Linked DNA regions of Coturnix japonica. The protein of the gene in region 1 interacts with the protein of each later gene in a pairwise test. Links are inferred from orthologs where the notes say so. Each region holds a gene or a part of one and is shown in the gene's direction. Other genes may lie near its edges.

Region 1 (3,817 bases):
CATTTATATAAAAGCAGTTGTTGCTTCTAAACAAAAATATGCTAATCATCCTTTGAATTGACGAGTGGATTAATATTAGACAATGTTAATTTACAGGAAGTATTTTACCTGACTTACACTCCAGAAGATGTTGAAGGAAATATTCAGCTGGAAACAGGAGATAAAATAAACTTTGTAATTGATACGAATAAACAGTAAGTTGATATCATGTTTCTCTTTCAGTGGTCGGGCAGCACTTTGTGCCTTTTCCAAGAACTGAAATAACATGAAGTATAATCTTAATATTGCCTCTGGTTTTCAGACATTTCAGCTTTGTTCTTTTTTTCCCTTTAGTACTGGTGCTGTAAGTGCTCGTAACATTATGCTATTAAAAAAGAAGCAAGCCCGTTGTCAAGGAGTTGTCTGTGCCATGAAAGTAAGTGATGTTTCAGCTTCAAAATATTAAAAGATGAAATTCTTTGCTGTCAAGTTCTCTAAATAGTAAATTCAGTGCATTAAGAACTATTAACATTTTGGATGTGTGAATGTAAACCAGGTCAAGCAGTTTAAACAGCTAATCTTGAGTACACACACTCCTTGAAAACAGGATAGGTGGGATTGTTTCCTGTAATGTATTTGCTATAGTATGAGCTGAATGCACTCAAGTTTGCTGTACTGAAGCGGTGTTGTCTTACTGTTAGAATGTGTAAAATGTTTTCTTAATAATACACTGAGACATTGGGCAATCTACTGAACACTTTCTTCTGTTCTTAGGAAGCCTTTGGATTTATTGAGAGGGGTGATGTCGTGAAGGAGATATTCTTTCACTATAGTGAATTTAAAGGTGACCTAGAAGCCTTACAGCCTGGTGATGATGTGGAGTTTACAATCAAAGACAGAAATGTAAGATGAACTCCAGTTAAAACTGAAGACAAGATCCTGGACAGCTGCCTGTTTATTCAGATTCACCTTAAAAAAAGGGGAGGGTGGGGGGGCAGGGTTCATAGGAAAGTGATCTTATTGTTTTGTCACTTCTTTAGGGACATTTGACTGACTTTGTGCTTTTAGGGTAAAGAAGTTGCAACAGATGTAAGACTGCTGCCACAAGGAACTGTCATTTTTGAAGATATCAGCATAGAACACTTTGAAGGAACTGTAACCAAAGTAATTCCAAAAGTACCCAGCAAAAACCAGGTGTGTTTCAGTATTAAATTTAAGGGAAATGCTGCATTGATTTCCAGTCATAGTACAAATGTTCCCCTTTGTCTGTGGTAGTCTGCTGTTAAGTATCACATTAGAGATCACTGCAGAGTAATTTTGGACTGCTTAACTTGTACCAACCGTTGACAGCAGTCACAGCAAGCAGGGTTTTTTCCACTAAAATTTAAAGGACCAGGAAATAGGGTAATACACAGCAGTAAGGCCTCTCAGAAGCGTGGCAAATGTGGTTATGAGCTTAATTCTCAACATAAATTTTTAGTTATGTTGTCAGTTTGGTTCATCTGATAAGTAAGTTAAATTCTAGTCGTGACAGTGTGATCTAGAAGTGGTCACTCAAACATGATGCCTTCCTAACCTAAATAGGGGCTCAATAAAGCTTTGTGTGCTGAGACTTGTAGGTGTACTAACTTTTTCTGTTGCGTTTTTCTGTCTTCTAGAATGATCCATTACCTGGCCGCATCAAAGTTGATTTTGTGATTCCTAAAGAACTTCCATTTGGAGACAAAGATACAAAATCCAAGGTGACTTTGCTGGAAAGTGACCACGTTCGATTCAATATTTCGACAGACAGACGTGACAAACTGGAACGAGCCACCAATATTGAGGTTCTCCCCAATACTTTCCAGTTTACTAATGAAACTAGGGAAATGGTGAGTATCTGTAACAGTGTAAAAATTGCCAGTGTCTGTTGCCTTGGAGTGGATTGCTCTTTGGTTATAGCAGGAAGAGCAGTCATGCAGCCATGAACAAATTAAAAGCTCATTTTCCTTAGCAAAACTGGTAGAACCTGATGCTGCTCTGGTTCAGGCAATGGAAAGTCTTAAGAATCAGAGGAGGTACTAAATACAGCTTTTGAATCTTGATCTTCTGTGTTCTTTGTACAATCTCTGCCTGAGGATCAGACAGAAGGGTGATAAAGAGCTGAATTCTGTGATGTGCAGAGAAGCTCTTAATGGGTCACAGTGACTGAGATAGTTGTGCTTATCATTATGAAAGAACATCTTTTGTTCTGGTAAAAGTGCTAGAAGACCTAACCTGTGTGTGTGTTTATAGCAGTAACTTTCAGTTCTTTGGCTATCTGTTGTCCTTTTGTGACTTAAATTCATCTTTTTCACTTCTTACTACTTATGAATCAGGGAGAAAGTAGAAAAAAACTAGTTAAATAGGGTTTGCTTGCATTTTAGGTTGCCTGTAACCATTTGCACTACAGTTTGTAAAGAAGTTTATTGAGTAGTTTGTTTTTAGAATTTGAGGTTTGTGTTCATCGTTGTCTTTTTACAGACAAATGTCAACATAGTAAAACTGTAATTGTCCTTCTATTTACAGGGTGTGATTGCAGCGATGAGAGATGGCTTTGGCTTCATTAAGTGTGTTGACAGGGATGCTCGCATGTTCTTTCACTTCAGTGAAATTATGGACGGAAACCAACTCCATATTTCTGATGAAGTAGAGTTCACTGTGGTTCCTGTGAGTGGTCCAATTTCTTTGAAAACCAGGATTTCACAGAAGCATTTATATGCAGTTTATCTAAAATCACATTGATCTTATTTTCCAGGATATGCTGTCTGCCCAAAGAAATCATGCTATAAGGATTAAAAAACTTCCAAAAGGCACAGTTTCTTTCCACACCCAATCGGATCACCGTTTTGTGGGCACTATAGACAAAGAAGCCACTCCAGCCAAAGCCACTAGCCCAAATAAAGGCAAAGAGAAGGTAGTACACGAGTAATATATTGCGTTTCTGGCTTTGCAGAGACCACTGCTTTAAAGTCTACATTCTGAAGCACTTTGTGTCTCGTATAAATTTGGATTTATTGGATATAAATATATCCAATAAATATGTTTATTGGATATAAAAATTGGATTTATTGGATATAAATATATATATTGGATATATGGATATAATGGATATAATGGATATAAATAATGGATATAAATAAATATATATATATATAAAATATATAAATAAATAAATAAATAATAAATGGATATAATGGATATAATAATGGATATAAATATATTGGATTGCTAATTACAATATTTAGTGATGGCTAACTTAAGCAAAACAATATAACAAAAACACTGTTGGTGATGTTTCTGTTGAGGATAACTTCCAAGAGCTTAATGGGAAGATTGCTCCTCCTACTTATTTCAGTAAATAATTAATGGAAATAGTATTGTTAGAGAAAAAGTAATAGCACTGTCTGGTGAAAGCTACAGTTTGCCATTTAAAGCTTGTGTCTTTTGATCATCTTAGAGTTTATTGGTCTGTGTTTTTACCAGATACTTTGCAGTTGTTGCAGAACAAGTAAATGTTCAGTGCTTGAATTGTATATACTAAGTTTGTTTGCATGCAAATAAGACACCAATTGCTGAATCCTGATGTCATTTTTATTTTTTATTATTTTTTTTAGGAAGCTGAAGATGGAATAATTGTTTATGATGACTGTGGAGTAAAACTGACCATTCCTTACCAGGCCAAGGATGTGGAAGGATCTGCTAACCCCCAGATAGGAGATAAGGCAATATAACTAAGTGTACCATTGGGAAATACTTTTTGGTTTTTTAAAGATGTGAATGCTTAAGAGGAGAGAGGTTAACATAAAGACATCAAGAT
Region 2 (3,817 bases), on another chromosome or scaffold:
TCAAATCCTGCTACTTATTAACGTTCTGAATCAGTCTGACCTCGGGCTTTACTTTTGCACAGTAGCTCCCAGACAGGTGGTCAGAGGTACCTGCAGGGCTGCCTGGCATCACAGGGCTCAGTCTGGTGCTGCATGGATGGCTCTGTGGTCACCGTGCTCTAAATTCTGCCCCATTTCAGTGGAAAGGAGCGCACTGCTGGCTGGAAAAGACTGGTCGGAAATTCGGGCATCGAGTCCTGGGTGAATGATGGTCCCTACACACAAATGTTCTGGGCTGGTCAGCACGGTGGCACGAAGTGAATACTGGAGGATGGTCCTCTAATAGGGGCAGCTGGGAACGGGTGCTGGATATAAGACGTTGGATGTGAAGGTGCAGTGCTGCCTGAGCTGGTGAGGAATTGTATGGAAAGTGACAAGGCGCTGTGTGTGAAAGTGAAGACGATAAAAGCTTTGTGCTGAGGGCGGTAACACACAGGGGAGGCAGCGCTCTGGGAGCTTTTCCTGTTGATAGGAAGTGGTCAGCTCGGCACCGTGTTCTTTCTTCCTATGGCACATCCTGTTTGTTAGGATTGCTTGTGCAGGGCTGTGATTCCCTGCTCACTAACAGGCGAGATGCTTGTAATTCACACGGCTTCCCTTTCTGATTCTTGCAGTGTGTGGATGGTGTGTTTTAGAGCACCTGAAACTCCTAATTTATAACTACTGGGGAAATAAAGTCTGGATGTGCCTGCAGGACTGACTCTGCTTTGTGCAGCCAGTGTGCAGGTGGGAGGTCAGCCTTGTGGAGGTGAACAGAAGGCAAAAATAAAAACCTCCCTTGTCCGCTGTGAGCCATCGCATCCATTTAATGCTGCCTGCTGTGCTCACAGCAGCAGTCAGTGCTGCAGGCAGCTCCTTCCTTCAGTACAGACGTGGTTTCAGCAGCAGGTGATCAGTGAATGGGGCTGTTCCAGGTCGCTGTGCTTCCCTTTCCTGTGTGCTACGCACAGGCTGCTGGGTGAGCTCAGCACAAGGAGGTGGGAGTTTAGGTCTCAGGAGATGCTGTACGCAGAACACAGTCAGCTTTAAAACATCCACCAATGTTCTTGGGAGATGAATGTTACGTGCATCAAATGGCTTTATGATGCCAGACGGTTCATTAGATCAGGGGGGCTGCGGGTGAGTCAGTGCTGCATTGTGCCCTAGGACTGTGCATGGGATGCCATCTGTTGGGTGGGGAGATGACTTAATGCAGCTATTAAAAAGCAAAGAAATGGTGTTTTAGCATAACCTCATTGCCAAGATGGCAGACGTTACTGCTGCTGCAGAATCCAACATTGCAGCTCGGGTGATTGCTGTGTGCTCCTCCATCTCTATGTAATTCTTGTTGGAGACAGTCGTAGCTGTCACGCTGCTGGCTGTGGAGCAGCGCTGTGTTCAGCCTCCAGGGAAGATACAGGCAGGAAAAGGTTCTGTGTACGCTGCAGGGAAATGGTTTTCTCCTTCCCCTCTAGATGAGAGTGAAGCCATTATTGATGCATAATCTCCTGTTAGCAGGAGTTGCTGCTCCCTGCTGCTGGGAGTGGCTGTGGCAGGCAGCCAGCAGGTGCACATGGCAATTAGCCCTGCCGCTGTGGTGCCCGGTTTGGAAGGGGATGTAGGAAGTGGAGGATGTTTCCTGCATTATAGTTGTGTTCCCAAGTACTTGGCTCTTTTTGAGGAGCATAATTAGAGATCTGACTTGCAAATAGCTTTTCTCCTCTCTCCATTTAGGCATTCTGTGCACAGATTGAGAGATAGTGCAGCTCTCTTGCATGCTTAGGAAGCCGAGTTCTGCTGCAAGTCATCTGCAGGCAGCTGGCTGTCCTGCACATCCCGCTGAGGAGCTGCCATCTCCCATCCCTTAGAAAAAGTCTGTCTTCCTTGGAAAAGGGCTCGGTAGGAATTCGGTTTGGTGGCCAGGCGGTAAAATAAAGAGGACTTCAGCATCAGAGCAGAAGATGCTTTAACTCATGGATTCGGTTGTGAGTGGAGAGTAGCTTGGGCTGATTCATTGCATGGCAGAAAGGAGTGGGGTGAGCCATGAGCCTCTCGGCTACAGGAGCACATAGGAGAGCCCGGGGGCAGTAGCTGCTGCACCAGCCTGGCAGCCGCGCTGGCTCCTCTCGCTTGCTGCCCTCCGGTGGTGGTGACGCATCACATTCTGCGGGTTCAGGTGATGTGTTGTGGCTCTGCGGAAGACATGGAATGTCCAAGTCTGATGTGCTTGGTCACATAAATGGTCACCCCCCAATGCTGAGGGAGTGCTCTGTTTGGGAGGTTCCCATCAGCCAAGGCTCTGGTAACTAAAAAAAGTGGAATATAAATCAGTGCTGGTGTTTTATTTATCCTCTATTGTTCTCTGTGGTGATGGTTGCATCCCCAGTCCGGTTGCAGTCACTGATGTTTGGAGCTCACTGGATGCTGGTTCTGCCTCTGTAGCTCTGTCTCTTTGCAGCCTGTGGAAGCAACGGATGATGCCTTCTGGGACCAGTTCTGGGCAGACACAGCCACGTCAGTGCAGGATGTCTTTGCCCTTGTGCCAGCTGCAGAGATCCGAGCAGTGAGAGAGGAATCACCGTCCAACTTGGCAACTCTGTGTTATAAGGTGAGGATGGCGTCGTCCTCCTTGGTGCTGTGCTGTGTATTTGTGGGGAGCACAGCAGCATGGCTGAGAGGTCATCTGCAGTCACAGCTGGAGACTCAGCCTCCATCCCTGCTGTGCAGGGTCATAAATGTGCCTGGAAAAATATTTACGCACAGTCACAGAGTTGTGCGTGGATGGGCTGAGGCTGTACAAACAGCATTTACATATCCATAAGGGCAGTGATGCAGGCGATCGGAGTCAGGAGCCCAGACAGTCTGCTATGAAACTAAGTGGAGAATATGACCCCATGAATTAAAAAGCTGCATGGTGAATCCTTAGTTCTACTTCTGCTGTCAGTGCTGGAGGGAACCTGCAGGTGTTGTGGCTCTCTATCCATGCAACGCTTATGCTGTGTGGGTTACCCTGACATGTAAGATCCCTTGTGGTGAGACAAGAAATTGAAGAAGGTCTGGTTAAGATTGTTTACCTCAGTATTTCTAACAGCAATGGAGGCGGTACCATTGAACTCAGGGAAATGGATTCCTAGCAGTGCTTATAAATCTATGTGAAGATGTCACCAGCAGGTCAGAGCTGTGCAGTTTTGCTCCTGTCCAAGCTAATGCTACCTCTCTTTTATTTCCTGCAGGCTGTGGAGAAGTTGGTGCAGGGAGCAGAGAGTGGCTGCCACACAGAGAAGGAGAGGCAAATCGTCTTGAACTGCAGTCGGCTCCTCACTCGTATCCTGCCTTACATCTTTGAGGACCCGGACTGGAGAGGTTTCTTCTGGTCAACTGTCCCTGGGGCTGGCCGAGGAGGGGTCTGTCTCTTGGCACTTATTCTCCTTTCTGGAGGGTGAGCGGGAGGAAGCAAGGAAGCGTTTGAGGACAGCTGCACTGTTGTTATTTCTGTTTATGCAGAAACTAGGTGGCATCTTCTAAGTCAGTTTCTTTTCTTTGATTCTTGGTGCTCTCGCCCTCAGCTGCTCTGCTTAGCACAGGTCTCTGCGTCACCTGAGGTTTTCACTTGGGTGTGTATCTGTAGGAGAGAGCTGGTATGTGAGGGAAGGCTTTTCCAGTATGGAAAGTATGAACTGAAATCAGTGTGGAAAGGATCAGGGTAACATGCTTTAGTGTGTTCTGCAAATGAGAGAAATACCGCTGAAAGCATAACTGAGGTAGGCAAGGAATACATGTTTACCTGCTTTCTCCCTTG

Evidence for each region.
Region 2: the proteins of CSDE1 (region 1) and HID1 interact in binary tests that used the Homo sapiens proteins (3 or more experiments, as listed by UniProt). The two-hybrid records come from large-scale screens. The link is inferred for Coturnix japonica from reciprocal best matches to the Homo sapiens genes CSDE1 and HID1.

The regions. Positions count from the first base shown.
Region 1 is NC_029541.1:3,912,412-3,916,228, reverse strand, and holds part of CSDE1 (cold shock domain-containing protein E1), read left to right. Parts: intron 1-96; coding exon 97-194; intron 195-333; coding exon 334-415; intron 416-753; coding exon 754-882; intron 883-1,047; coding exon 1,048-1,173; intron 1,174-1,637; coding exon 1,638-1,850; intron 1,851-2,526; coding exon 2,527-2,667; intron 2,668-2,755; coding exon 2,756-2,914; intron 2,915-3,614; coding exon 3,615-3,722; intron 3,723-3,817. UniProt on the Homo sapiens protein: RNA-binding protein involved in translationally coupled mRNA turnover.
Region 2 is NC_029533.1:9,276,314-9,280,130, reverse strand, and holds part of HID1 (protein HID1), read left to right. Parts: intron 1-2,476; coding exon 2,477-2,626; intron 2,627-3,251; coding exon 3,252-3,422; intron 3,423-3,817. UniProt on the Homo sapiens protein: May play an important role in the development of cancers in a broad range of tissues.